Linked DNA regions of Tribolium castaneum. The main gene of each other region encodes a partner of the protein of the gene in region 3 in a complex. Links are inferred from orthologs where the notes say so. Each region holds a gene or a part of one and is shown on either strand. Other genes may lie near its edges.

Evidence for each region.
Region 1: PIG-F (region 3) and PIG-O share a complex: the UniProt entries of both Homo sapiens proteins name them as parts of the ethanolamine phosphate transferase 3 complex. The link is inferred for Tribolium castaneum from reciprocal best matches to the Homo sapiens genes PIGF and PIGO.
Region 2: PIG-F (region 3) and PIG-G share a complex: the UniProt entries of both Homo sapiens proteins name them as parts of the ethanolamine phosphate transferase 2 complex. The link is inferred for Tribolium castaneum from reciprocal best matches to the Homo sapiens genes PIGF and PIGG.

The regions. Positions count from the first base shown.
Region 1 is NC_087396.1:20,516,586-20,522,080, reverse strand, and holds the start of PIG-O (GPI ethanolamine phosphate transferase 3), read right to left. Parts: upstream 3,671-5,495; 5' UTR 3,523-3,670; coding exon 2,974-3,522; intron 2,926-2,973; coding exon 2,645-2,925; intron 2,539-2,644; coding exon 797-2,538; intron 1-796. Other genes in the region: trafficking protein particle complex subunit 13, read left to right, coding at 3,870-3,903, 3,951-4,329, 4,382-4,596, 4,682-4,908, 5,118-5,218, 5,292-5,495.
Region 2 is NC_087396.1:8,432,134-8,436,885, forward strand, and holds part of PIG-G (GPI ethanolamine phosphate transferase 2), read right to left. Parts: intron 4,232-4,752; coding exon 2,463-4,231; 3' UTR 1-2,462.
Region 3 is NC_087396.1:23,483,003-23,487,303, reverse strand, and holds PIG-F (phosphatidylinositol-glycan biosynthesis class F protein), read right to left. Parts: upstream 2,200-4,301; 5' UTR 1,897-2,199; intron 1,850-1,896; 5' UTR 1,835-1,849; coding exon 1,163-1,834; 3' UTR 1,124-1,162; downstream 1-1,123. Other genes in the region: calcium-independent phospholipase A2-gamma, read left to right, coding at 119-310, 359-853; Dab (protein disabled), read right to left, coding at 2,633-3,585, 3,705-3,968, 4,017-4,213, 4,266-4,301.

The DNA.
Region 1 (5,495 bases), about 3.0 Mb from region 3:
GCAAATATTTTATTTCTTAGTTTATTTAATAATTATTATTAATTGATTGTTTATTATTTTATTTATTTAATTGATTAATGATATGGAAATGTTAAATTTTACGACAACTGCCCACTCGATTTTTTTTCCGAAAAAACTTTCAATATTTCTCATTTTGCAAAAATATTACAAATTTTACAAATTAGACCCCACAAACCTTATATCGACAGGAAGCTCATAAAAAATGCCATTCAATAATGCAAGAAAATATGGGGTGTTGCATTTGAAAAACTCGAGTTATTGCCATTTGTAGTTTGTCATTTTCAGAAAATCGTAGTAGGCGATGGAATATCGACTCCGAGTCCGCTTTTATTGTAAAAGAAGCCCTAGAGATTAAGGAATTTACTGGAAAAAAATTAGTTAAGTTATCTTAAATGGTTCTGACGTTATAAATTTTTCCGTAGGTCTTTGCACGACGCTATTTTTTCAAATGTCAAATAAATTGACATAAGTTAAAAACTATGACTGATAAGTTTATAAAATCAGGTGCGTTGGCTACGATTTCAAAAATGTGCCGAAAGGTTAGAGTTTTCATAAAAAAAACAAATTAATAGCTTGCACAGAAAAAATTATGGAGCATGCACGCACCCCTGGGTCACCCTGTATTTAATCAAACGCTGAATGATGTGTGATTATTAGTTTTAGCAGACTCACCTTGTAATGAACGCACAGTTTTGTATAATAAAAAATTAAAACACTCAAATTAAACAAAGTGTTTTAGAAAAAACATTGTATTTAATTAGCGAAACTGACTTACCCATAATTGTGGCTTTCTCGAGCCGGATAATCGACGTAATAATCAGAACAAACGCCGACGCCAGAAACATGATAACAGTAGCCGGGGCAACACCATCCCCATGAATCAATGCGAACAAATGCGTCAGAAAAATCCCAATCGAGACAAAAACGGCACTGTAGGCAGTCCCCAGCCCGCACAAAATCGGGACATCATCCCGGCTTTCTTCATTGAAGAGCCTCTTCACTTTGTGGAACAAATGCGGGATGATATTCTGCCCCTCGACTGTCTTTTCCTTCGGTAAAACGTAAACGCACAATGGCTTCAAAACCACGACCAAAATCCCAACAAACGAAACACCATAAACAGTCCAAGCCAAAACATTCGCCTGCCAGGGCCGGATCGCCTTGTTCTTCGGATCACCCGGGAGCCGGTTCAAGACCCAGAAACCGCTCGTGCACACGACCAGAACCGTGGGCGCGTACTTTAGCACAATCACCGTGAAGTTGTAACCGTTCAAGTTGCCACAATTTCGCAGCCAAACTTTGGTGGTTGTGACAAACAGGGCCAAGGTTATGAGAGTGGTGATCCACTGGAGTTTGGTCGTTTCGGCTTTAGAGGTGAACGAATTGTACGTTTCGTAACACCAGGGTTGCTCTAAACGGTCGCGACAGCGCCAGAAATACATGGAAATGCGCACAAGCACCAACATCCCGAACGCAATTAACAACAATCGCAACTTCGGTCTCGGGATTTTTTTCTTTGTTTCTCCCTGACCGACGCTCAAACTCCCAATCAAAATAACCGTGGTTAGGAGAAACAGCAAAACGGACGACTCCTCAACGACAAAACTGTTGGAAAAAAGGCCACACAAGTGGAAAACGAGCACCAGCCGGCAGATTAGATTCGGGATACGTTCTTTCTTGCTCCGATCGTACCAGTTGAGACTGATCAACTCCCAGTTTTGAATCACCAGCATGCCTAGCATGAACTGGGAGACCAGTCCGGTTGAGAAAAAAATCGTGGATGTGAGACTTGAAACGTAGGAAAAGTGGTACAAAACAATCGAGACGCAAACCGCAACTAACAAAACAAAATAAGAACAAGTGAGGAACGAACTCATGAAAATCTCCGGGAGGCGGTTGCTGGGAATCCCGTCAGTGATCACATAGACGAAAAACATGGACAGGAACAGGAACAACAATCCACGAGTCATCGAAAACGAATCGAACTGGACCCAGACTTGCTCGCAAGTTTCGCGCAATTTCCCCAAAAAAACCAAACACTCCTCTGTGAAAGTCGCAAAGGAGGGTTGGTCACTGACGTGGAAGAGTTTGCTGTTCAGGAGGGCGTAGTTCTCGCGCAGGCTTTGCAAAGTTGAGTCGCTGAAGGTTTCCGGGGCCGATTTGGCGTAGTGGTCGATGTAGGTGAGCATTTGTTGGGCATTTGCCCATAGGTGGAAGAGGGACCATTGCCATTCGGGCACTTGTGAGTTGTTGAGGAGCGGAAGGGCGTCCAGGATTACCGTTCCGAGGTTTGAGAACGGGATCGAAACGCCGAAAATTGAGGCAAGGGTTGGGACAAGGCTGACTTGGCGGACGGTGGCGGAGGCGTGGAGGGAGGAGAGTTGGGTGTGGGAGTACACGAAGAGGGCTGAGGTGACTTCGTCGTCGGCGTCGCCCCCGTGGTTGCCGGTTTCGGTCATTCCGTGGTCGCCGATCACGAACAGCATTGTGCTGGGGTCTAGTCGCTCCACAATGCTCCTGGAAACAAAAGTTGGGTGAATAAATGCAAAAAAAAGCGAGTTAGGAAAAGTAAAAACTAGGTAAAATATTTCTTTTGTGATCATTTTTTGTGGTACAAACTTACGCAATCACGGTGTTCATTTCTGTCAATTTGCGCTCCATCTCCGAATGGTTGGGGCCGTAGCGATGGCCACAGTGGTCCACCCCCAAGTAATGTGCGATCAGAAAACTCCAATCATTTTTTGCCAATTCGGGGTAAAGGTGGAAATTGACTCCGTCGTCAACTGTGTCCAAATCCCAGACATCGAAAGAGGGATAGGGGTATTTCCTGAGAAATCTGTTAGGGTAGAGGCCGTCCCAAGTGTCGTCGCCGATCAAGACCGTGCTCAAGTTGTGCCTCAACAACTGAAACTCTCCTGTGATTTTAAACAATTATTGAAAATAGTTACAAACTTGGTCAATGATATTATCCTCGTTGATTTCATTCGTGGCAAAATTGGAGCCGGCGTCGATAAAAGTTGGAAGACTTCCCGTCGTTAGAGCTTTCAGTCTTTGCATTGTGGTGGTCGGGGGGTCCGCTATGAACTTATACAGCCGCGAATTGTCCGGTTGTTGCTTCAGCAACTCGTTTATAACCGGCAGCTTGTTTTGGAACGGCAGAGGGTTTTTTAAATTCTCGTCATAGAGTGCAAAGTCGTACCGCAGAGCGTCGATTATCACGAAGACAACGCGCGCTCTTTGGGGCAAGCAAATATCCGAAGCGCTGTTTATGTTTTGAAAAACATAGGATAGTTTGGTGTCGGCACTGCATTGCTGTTCGTGGGCACTTAAAGTCGTCGATTCCTTGTGAATGCACGGGATCTCGGACAGGGAGAGGCAAGTGGAGTTGGTTGTTTGGGCATTTTTGGAGAGGAGGAATCCGCGCGAAAAGAGCAAAATTGACGAGACTATCAAGTACGAGAACCATAGCATGAACAAGAAATAGCACCAGTGTTTGCCCATTGTGCACAAGTCATTTAGAAAAGTCTCGTTTGGTTTAATTTATAATTTTATCACTAACCCAACTTTTGAAATGTCACACTCCCATTGGGCGCTTTAACTACTCACTCCCTTTGGTCTACTCTCATTAACTATGACCAAATGGGAATGACCAAAAGTTTGGCCTCACACGGCAAATTTGTAAAATTGTACCATATTTTACGAAAATACGAATTTCTAAGGCAAACAAATTAATTCAAAAAATTAGGTCCGAACCACCGTAGACCTTATTCTATGACCGTAGACCGTTCACACCAACTTGTCAGACTGACGTTTAACCAAACAAATAACCTCCCCTAATTTTGCTAAAAATGGAGCCAGAGGAGCACTTACTGGCTTTGAAAGGTGCAAATGAGAGTTACCAAATTTTTGGTTAATATCTGCGGTTTTAGTTATGCGTCTTACGCGCCCCACTCTGGCCACTCCTCTGCCAGTGACTTGCGACAGCAAGGACTTGCCCGGTAATTTGCTAAATGTTGCCCTTCAGCAGGACGCTGCGTCGGTTAAAGGCACCGAAACGTTGTCTATAGGCCAATTTTTGCTGCTACCTCAAAGTCCAGTTAATATTTATTTAGGCGAAACGTTTTCTAGCTACATTTGTGTGTACAATGAGACTCAACACATTGTTAGTAATGTTAGTGTTAAAGTGGACTTGCAGACCACTTCTCAGCGATTGCCTTTATCCTCGAATCCTCCAACCCCTCAACTGACCCCTGATGACACTGTTAATATTGTTATCCATCATGAGGTCAAAGAAATTGGAAATCACATGTAAAGTCGCATTTATTTGTGCAATCTTTCACTACGAGTGGTTGAATTGTAGTTTGGTGTGTGAAGTGTCTTATCAGAACGCAGTAGGAATTCTTAAATCGTTCAGGAAATTTTTCAAAATTCAAGTACTTAAGCCGCTTGACGTCAAAACGAAGTTCTACAATGCGGAAAACGACGATGTTTATTTGGAGGCCCAGGTGCAGAACATCACCACAGGCCCCATATGTTTGGAAAAGGTGGCCTTGGACGCGTCCCACCTCTTTAAAGGTTCATTTTTTAATTGTGATAAGCAACCTATGTTTGTGAAATTACGTTGCCAACTTATTTAAGAGCACATTTGTTATTTTTGCAGTTACGTCCTTGAATGTGACACCAACAGGTGAGAGCATTTTTGGCAAAACAACCCTTTTAAACCCTCAAGCTGTTTGCCAATTTTTGTACTGCCTATCACCCAATGAAAAATTGTCTTCCGATTTGAAGAGTTTAAGTGGGGCCACAAACATTGGCAAGTTGGATATAGTGTGGAGGTCGAATTTGGGCGAAAGGGGCAGGTTGCAGACAAGTCAGCTTCAAAGAATGGTAAGTTTTTTTCAAAACTTGCCACATAATTTAAATGTAATGATTTATTTAAAATTCAGATTGAAAATTCTTCAAATACTTTAGGCAAAGTTAAGCAAATGCTATTGAAAATATTCTTTGAATAATTGTTTTGCTGTTTTGTGTTCGTAAGTGCTTAAACGTTTTCCAAATTGACTGGCGTGAAAAACTGCACTAACGAATTTTTTCAGGGACCTGATTATGGTGATATAAGATTATCGATTACCGAATTACCTAATTTCGTAGTCTTGGAAGAGTTGTTTGCGTTCAAATGCCGGCTGGTTAATAATTGGTAAATATAAAGTGCTTTCATTAATTTGTCAGCAACGTGAGCTATGATTTTAAAATTGTTTTTGGCATTTTAGCGAAAGAAGTGTTGAGTTAATGATGTATTTGGATAACTCAGATGGCTTGGCTTGGTGTGGCATTTCTGGCCGTAAGTTAGAAGTGTTGCCACCACACTCCACCCGAGTTTTAGAATTTAAAGCAATCCCCCTTATTCCGGGCCTGCGAACCCTTTCCGGGATCAAATTAGTCGACACGTTCCTCAAAAGAACTTACAACTACGA
Region 2 (4,752 bases), about 15 Mb from region 3:
AGGCATTAGTTCTACCATCAAAAAAACTATCACGGGGATTTGACGGTACCTGCATTAAATTAGGGTGATTTATTATAAATTGTTTGATTTCAGTATTATCTTTTAATAATTTTCGAAACTGACATTCCCAAATTGATTTTAAATTATAACCGCTTGCTCTTATTCGCTGTTCCTTATGTAATATATTTACTCGACGTATAAATAGAGCATCATATTTGTCTGATAAACGTGCCAGCTTTACATAGTAGCTTTAATTCATAGAGGTAAGGAATGGAGAAAAATAAAATCAATTATATGGGTTTAAACATTTATTTATTTCTTAAATTCAATTATAAACATCTTATGAGCCCTGATAATAATAAACAATCTTATTATTCACATTCCTCTTAACATTAAAGGGTAGCTTTAATATGATTTCATATAATACGCCATTATCATCGTACAGTTCTTTAATTACTCTAAAAAGTATTTCATCATACGTATTATTATTCTTACACACCATAGCCAAAGTAACAGTGTTAATGAAATTTTTATATAGGACCCTTATTAATTATCAACGTAACGTCGTATATCTGCTCTCGAATTTTTCATGAATTTCGAAAAGTGCAGTGACAGGAAACTGATTTATAACAAAGCATAAACGCGTAAACCCTTTAGTTTATTAACCCTATCTTAAAATGCCTGATAGGTCAGAATAGCGCCACTTAAAATTCCACGGACAGATGTTGTTATGAAAAAGATAGCACACTAAACTTATGAATCCTATCTTTGAATGGACCCTTACTAATTACATTAACATAATGTCGACTACCTGCTCTCGAATTTTTCGAGACCATATACCGCAATGTAAAAAGTACAGCGCACATAGCTTATGGTAGTGCTCAGCTCCATTTGCGTGTGCGTCATCTGACATTTCTGTCACTACGTTTACATAGCAGGGCATAGCGGTGACAAACTATCAAATATTTTTTGCGGTTACGAAGTGTTTAAATTATGAGTTGTTACAAAAAAATACAGATTCACAAAACAAGAACTAATAAACGCAGAATCAAAAACCTAACGAAACGCAAATCACAAAACACAATAAACGAACGGAAAATACTTGCGATTAACACCGATAACACTTTCGACAACCATGCGACGACGTCTATAATTTACTGTCAATGTCAGGTTGACAAATTCGTGACACTTGACGGTGTTGTCGAAGTGCACAAGTAAATTAATGTTCAAGGATACCACCCTTGGATAGCCCTTAGCTGTTTAAATTTGCATTGTTTTTGGTAAGTTTTTTATAGCTTTGTGTTGGTAATGAAAAAATGAAATTGATGACGCACATGCAAATCGAGCTGACCGCCACTATAACAACGAATGACATTGCTAGATTTGCGCCGTTGCTATAACAATACCGATTTGTGCCGGTCGTAAGGTCTGATTCTGTGAGCCTAATTTCAAGTTGACTTACGACCGGTGCAAATCATGATTGACATAGCAACGGCGCAAATCTAGCAATGTCATTCGTTGCTGCTATGCAACTACGACCCGCGCAATTTTGCGACCAAACTTGAAATTAGACCCTGTGTCCCATTACAACCAGAGACACATCATTTTGACAGTACTCAAATGTGAACCGTTGGAGATACATGCGCAAACAACAATTTTTTTTAATGATTCAGACAGTAATATATTTTATCTTTCTTGATTGCTTGTCAGCGCTTCGGTGATGTTACCACTAACTAACATCACTACTCCCGGCTTTTTTTGAAGAGTGAACACCCCTTGCTATAAATCTATGGCGCAAACGAAGCAAGCATGAGATCCAATTCCAGCGCGACTTCGATTTAAATTAAAAAAAATATTTTTTTTATTAAACAAAATATTGTATTCGTTATTCGTTAAAAATGTTTGAGGGGGCTTAGCCTCCCCTGCTTCCTCTGAGAAGCCGCCACTGTAACGGTAAGTAATTTTGTGGACGCCTTGGACCTAGCAACCGGTAACCATAACCTGTTGTCTTGACAATTATTTTGACATTATTTAATAAGAATTTAAGAATCGTGCAAAAAACGCCAAAAGCATCACGAACGTTAAAGATTGCCGATCTCAGACAATAATTGGAGTCGTCGCTATGCTCCTCCTCCAAACAATTGTCTTCAATCGGTAAAATCTCCTTACCGTTCTTGATACTTATTTCATTGCTTATCAAATCCCCAATTTAATTCTACTGCCTGAAAATATTAGTAAATCTAACTTTGTTTGAACTTTGGGTTGGGAATGCTTATGATTTGACTTGGTTGGAAACTTGTGCCTTTATCAGTGACAAAACAATGAATGGTCAGTTTGACCCTTCACACAGCCATATTTTTAGCAAAATTTTTTAAACGATCTTTAATCTGAGGATTAGATTTATAATAAAATAAGACAAATTTTCAAATTTGTAACAGATGTTTTATTAAAAAAACACAATTTCAGTAACAATTTTTTTTTATTAAATCTATTAAATAGTAGCAAGATACTTCAACAAATAAAAAGAAAAAATGGCTTGCCTCAACAAACATTTTTGGGGCAAAAACTGACCAAATAAACAAATGGTGTCTGTGTATGAAAGTTACTATAAAAACTAGCACAACAATATATAATCTAAACAATATAAAAATAGACAGACTTTTAAAAACATTTACCTTTCTGTTTGTGAAAAGTAATAAGTGGCTTAATACTGGGAGGGCATATGTGTGACACAATACTTGAGGAAAGACTAAAAAAGGGTTATACTCGTGTAATCCAATATAACCGCTTGAAATATCAACACTTGCTAAACTATTATCATGCCCTTGAGCAAAAAATAACAAATTACCTAACCACCAATGGGCCATCGTTAACGTTTCATTTTCTAAAGCTTTGTGGAAAAGTTGACTACCTAATACACACAATGGAATAAGTATCACATTGTAGGGCTTAAGTAACAAACTAATAAGTAGTAACCAAACTAATGCAAAACTTTCTTTGGTTGATACACAAAGTAGAAATTTTATAAAAATTAGAAACCACAAAATTTGGCCCAAGATTATATTCACGAACACTGAGCGAAAGACATAAATTAAAATTAAGACTAAAGCATCAAGAAACTTACTCAATTTCGTTTTTGCAAACATAATGGTACAAAGGTACGAGGCTGCTAAACCCGAAATAAAAATTACTTGCAAATATAAATAATTTTCGTTTTGTAACAACCAGTCAGCTAAATCCGGCAATGCAGCCCATTTATCACCAACTTGGTTAAGTGTGCGAACGAGTCTGAGTGCTACAAAAAGCAAAATCCAGTATTTCCCTTTAGTTAAAATATTAAACAAAATAAAAGTGTTTGTAAAAAAATACCAAAATTGGTGCTCTTCTTCCAAGTAACTCGAGGAGAGGAAAGACAACGGATGCACAATTGACATAAACATCAAAAAAGATTTGTTAGCGCACTGCAAATGTTTTGTCTCAAAACACGCAAGATTTCTAACAACTAAAAATAATATTGTCACGGTAAGTAACATATCCATGGCAACGTGAAAATGGGCAAACTGTAAAAATAGCAGTGCCAACATTGTTAATTGTTCGAAGCGATCAGTTTTCGGAGAAACCCCGAACAGTTTTTGGATTACTTTTAACAAAATTACAACGGTTGTAGCAGTTGCGACAATCAGAGATGCTGCGTTTTGTTGAATTGAAAGTTTTTGTAACGTTTCGCTAATTTTTCGTGCACAGTTTTCGTACAATTGGGCCGCGCTTTCGGCCAATTCTTTTTTCTGATTAAGTAGAAATAGATCGAAAAGATGGTCTGCAGTGTGAATTGTTTCTTCGCACAAATCCAGCTTATTTGTCAATAAAAAGGTGTTGTATCTCAAAGCTTGTAAAAATTCTGATTGTTGCAAATGAGACAACAGACTTTTGTGAAGTTGGCCAATGCTAGTGGTTGGAACATCGAAATTTTGTAAAATGGCTAAATTAGCGGGAATGTCAATTTGGGCAAAAGAGTCATTAATGCAAGGCACACCCAAAACTATAAAGGGGACGTTGGTTTCAGGATGTGTGGAGCCCCCATGCCCTCCGCTGTCTCTCATTCCGTGATCACCTGTTACCATCAAAATCGCGTCGGTTTTGTAGATTTCTTCTATAACGTAATCCATTTCTTTGAGTTTGGATAAAATAAGCGGAGATTTGGGACCGTAGACGTGGCCTATATGATCCAAACCTGCAATAGTTATTTAATCAACCAGTGTCTTAATCACCAACAAGAGTTGATTAATCAGATTAAAACAGGTGTGTTGTGAATCTTTCCAATAAAGCTCTGAAGACTTAAAAAAAGCAAAAATAATAAACACAGATTTGTCACAAAATTTGTAACAAAATTTCGCGAAATAATAATTGGTTTCCGGATAAAAAAAACTATAAACAAATTGGTGAAAAATACAGAATAGCTCGTTTTAAAAAACGAGCTCAAACACGCGAATGGTGATATTGATAAGAGATAAAAAACATAAATGTATTAAAGTCATTAATAAAGTATTGTTCGAAACAACTTAATTTTTAATATTTTTCTATTTCTTTTTTGATGTCGAATTTAATTGATTGTGAATTTGCGAGTTTATAATAGTTATTTTTGTAATTGTCCGCCATATCGATGCTTTAATCGGCATCTTAAAGCACTCAACGTCAACAAGTGCGATGTCATAAGATTATTTGATGGAACATTTTCACAAATTTCAGGGGGCG
Region 3 (4,301 bases):
TGACAGGTGCAAAATTGGCGGTGTTACCAACGTGGTTACCAACATAACATTACGCACTATGCTAGGTGTTGCCAACCCAACTGCAGTCACAGCCCTCTGATTTATCCAATTTTTGCAGCTTTGCGTGTTATCAGCTGTTGTAAATCAATCAAGACTATCAGCTTACGTTTTTCGCAACTATTCTTTACCATGTCGTGTGCAGTCCCAATATTTGGGAAGCCATAAACACTTAATCTGGGAAGCGGTGAGGGCATCGGCCGCAGCGCCAACTTACTTCGAGGAATTCAAATTGGAGAACATGCTGCACCAGGTACCACCAACCAACCATTTACAATGTAACTAAATTTTAAATATACAGGACGGCGGTATTTTATTCAACAACCCAACGGCGGTGGCAATCCACGAAGCCAGACTCCTCTGGCCGGAAGCCCCCATCCAGTGCGTGCTGTCGTTTGGCACCGGCCGTACCATCCCCTTGCCCGTCGACCCCAACACCCAGAAAGCGGTCCGGAATTCGTCGTGGAAAAGCAAGTTCTATGCCATTATTGAGAGCGCAACGGACACAGAAGGGGTGCACACAATGCTCTCAGATCTGCTGCCCCCGAGTATTTACTACCGGTTCAATCCGTATCTGACCGAAATGTTGGATATTGCGGAAATTGATCCGAAAAAAGTGGAGCAGTTATTAAGGGATGCTGTCATGTATTTGAGGCGGAACGAGGATAAGTTTCACGAAGCTGCAAGGGTTTTGCTCCAGGAGAAATCGCTAAGTCAGAAAGCCATTGATTGGTTGAGTCTGCAGCAGGAGATAAGGGGCTTCAGACGGGTGCCGCAAACGTTACTCACGGCGTAGCACAATAAGAGTATTATCAATTATTTTAGATTAGAAAATTAGGTTTTGTATTCGATTTGTCTTAATAGATTTACAACAATTCGGTTGCAATTTGCGACTTCTACCATTAGTGATAGAAATGGTTGTGATAATTATTAAGTTAAGGAGAACTGTTTTTATTTTAGACAATTTGAAATAAATTTTTTTAGTAACAAATTGTTTTCTTCCCTGTCATATCTGGTGGGCGATTTTTTTCTCAGAGCTTGGTCAAAAAACGCAATCAGAAACAAATTTAACGAAAATCGACATTTATTTTAAGCGTAACACAACTCATAGCATATATTTTCCAGTCTTTCTGATAAACTTGGCGAAATACTGGTGTTGGAGCAGAGAGGTAACAAAATTGGCGACCATGTAGCCCACCATGGCCCCCACGCTGCAAGGGATGGGCCAGTCCTGCCACGGCCTGTTCCAGTCCAGTGGTATGACGATGGCCCCCAGCCAGGCCCCAAAGAGAGTCAACCTCAATTTCAGCATAAACAACTTCTGGACATCGCTACCATCATACGAAGCGAGTGACAAGAACATGTGTACTGTGTTATCACCCCCAAAATACAAGCAAAGAGGAAGCGCAGTAAAGGTTGTAACAATCAACGAAAACATGCAAGTTTCTTCAAAATCGGAAAGAATAGGCGCTCCGAACAAAACAGCAACGACGTAAATTGTGGCAAAGAGTAACAACAAGACTAGGACGTTTTTTATAAAGTCTTTGGCGTGGTGTTTATAAAAGCTGGTTTTTGTGCGAGATACGTGAAACGAATATTTGATAAATTCCAAAGCCGCAAGGCCTAGGATGTTGTAAAGGGAGTCCGAGTGTCCAATTGATAAAATCAGGTTGTTGTAGTACAAAAAGCTCAAGTATAGCAGTAAGTACATTGAGGTGAGGATGTCGTTCCAGCGCAGTGTTTGCGAATAATCGGGGGTTAAATATTTCACCGGCATTTTGGGCCTAGCCGTCTGAAAACAGAGTTTTAGTTGCTCAAACAAAAAAAGAATCAACAAACCGTCACAGTCACAAGAGATGAGATAAAAATTTAATTTGCGATTAACGCCGTTTAACTAGCATGGCACTGTTTAAATAATAATAGTTCTCATTTCAACCCAAATTCAACAGTTTGGGCTGTAATTCACATAATTTCAACTATTTCAAGAACAATGAATATGTTAGGTTATATATGTGTGCGAAAATTCCCTAAGCATCGCCAACCTTTGGTTATTTCCCCCAAAATCTATTAATCGATTTTTTAAGGATTCACCTTAGAAAACGCAGAAATTCGACCTAACAATGTTTTTATCTCTTTCTGAGTTTTAATGCTCTTTAAAAACATCACGAATTGGTTATACGGGATGTTCAGTTGGCGATAACTCGGTAACTTATTTTCTAGCGATTTGCAACACTGTAACAATGAAAATTAAGACAAGGTGGCAATGTTTTCAATTTGTAAATAATGGGCCCGGCTAACAATAAATTAAAGTTGATATATTTAAAACAGAGGTAGAAATTACAGTGAAAAAAGGATTAATTTACAAATCAAACTTCCACTGGCGGTACGCATGCGAAGAGTTCGCATTGACATGGAATCATAGAATCACATAGTTAAAAATCCTTATTTAAGTATAAATAAATACATCTAACTTAGTACGAGCTCTTCTAGCATTATATTATGTAACAATAACATTAATTTAGACGACGTAGGAAGCAATTTGAGTGAGGCCCTCGTTAGTGCACAATCAAATCGCTCAGTTTTTTTCTTCAATATCAAAATCTTCAAAATCATCAGTCCACTTGAGATCCGTCGTTTTCGGAGAAGTCTCCGAATGGTGGTGTCCGTCATGACTAGCCACGTTTTCGCTAAAAAAATCATCATCGAATGGATCGCTTTCCCGCGCGAAAATATTTACAGATTCAGACTTTTTTATATTAATATCAGACTGAAAGTTATTGGAGAGCCTATTTTTATTGAGTTTCTTTTTCCGAGAATTCGTTGCATTGTTTGTGCTAAATGAGCTTTCTTTATCGTTGGGATCCGCCTCCTCCTTGATGCTTGATATGCCACTGTCTTCAGGTAACGGGTCGGGTTTCCCACTTGGGGAAAAATCATCTTCAAATAAAGATTTCTGCTTGGGGTGCGTCCGAGGCGACAATTTCAACTCTTTAAGTGACCTTTGCCGAAAACTCTCTTTACTGAACTCGTTATCTGTTTTCTCAAACATGCTCTGCTGTCGCAACCCTTTCAGCGGTTTATTGACAACAGTCGGAGATTCGGCTTCAGACGTTTCGAAATCGTTTTCAAAGCTAAATTTCGCATCCGCACGCCCACTCACTGGACTGTCTTCAGACGGCACGAAATCGTTCTCAAACAACGATTTCGCACGCGATGTTGATTTCCGAGGGAATGTGCTAACAATGTTCACTTCGGCTTTCGGGCTTTCCTTTTTCTTTCTGCTCGCTAAAGTGGCGCTTTTCTTATTGCTGCTGTGGTCGGATTTGGTACTATCAACTTGTTTTTTTGGCGGCATTTCAGCGAAATCGGCTTCGAATTGTTTCGCGTACTGCTTACTTCGGTGCGAGCCGCGTAGTGTGGGGCCCCCTTCTGGCTTGTGACGGTGGGAAGACTCCGAATATTGCGAGTCTCGGCTGCGGGAGCGGCGGCCGGGTTTGTACCGGCGGTCCCTCTCCCCGTCACTTCCTCCTAACACAAAAAAATTTTAAAATAAAAAAGGTATTAAAAAAAGTCTTGTTTATTTTATTTTATATTTTAATTTAAAGTCATAGGTCACTTGAAAAGAGAAAATAAAAAAAAATACGCACCTGCTCCAAAATAATGCCGCGACTTGATCTCGCCTGTTTTTCGGTCCATTTCCGACGCACTGCTCGGCCTCTTCCAGTTTCTCCTCGCTGTTAAATAATGAGAGGATGAAACTTCTTCGGCTTCGTTCGAATATTCGTCTTCCCAGGGAGATTCTTGTGATTCGCGACTGTAATAACGCTCGTCGTGTTTGCGTTCTCGCCACATTCCGGGAGGACCGTCCATATTCGTCCAGCGATTACTACCGTATCTGTTTACAGGTTTTTCTGGAAATAAAGAGGATAAAAACATAAATAAATAAAAATTAATAGTACCATGCTCCCCCACATCCCAGTCTGGACAACACCACCGATCCCTCTCTCCTTCACGTCTCCGCCTATGTCTCCTATCTTCGCTCCATTGACTTTCCCACTTGTCTAAGTCATGTTCCCGATTTGGTGGTGCGTTATACCGTTCTCTCTCAATCTCCCATTTTTGGCGATGGAATCGCGGCACATGTTCGTCTTCGTATCTAAATAATCAAACATAGAAATGAAAAAATTAAACAAAAAATAAAAACTAACTCGTAATCATCTTCATCATCCCAACTATCGGTATGT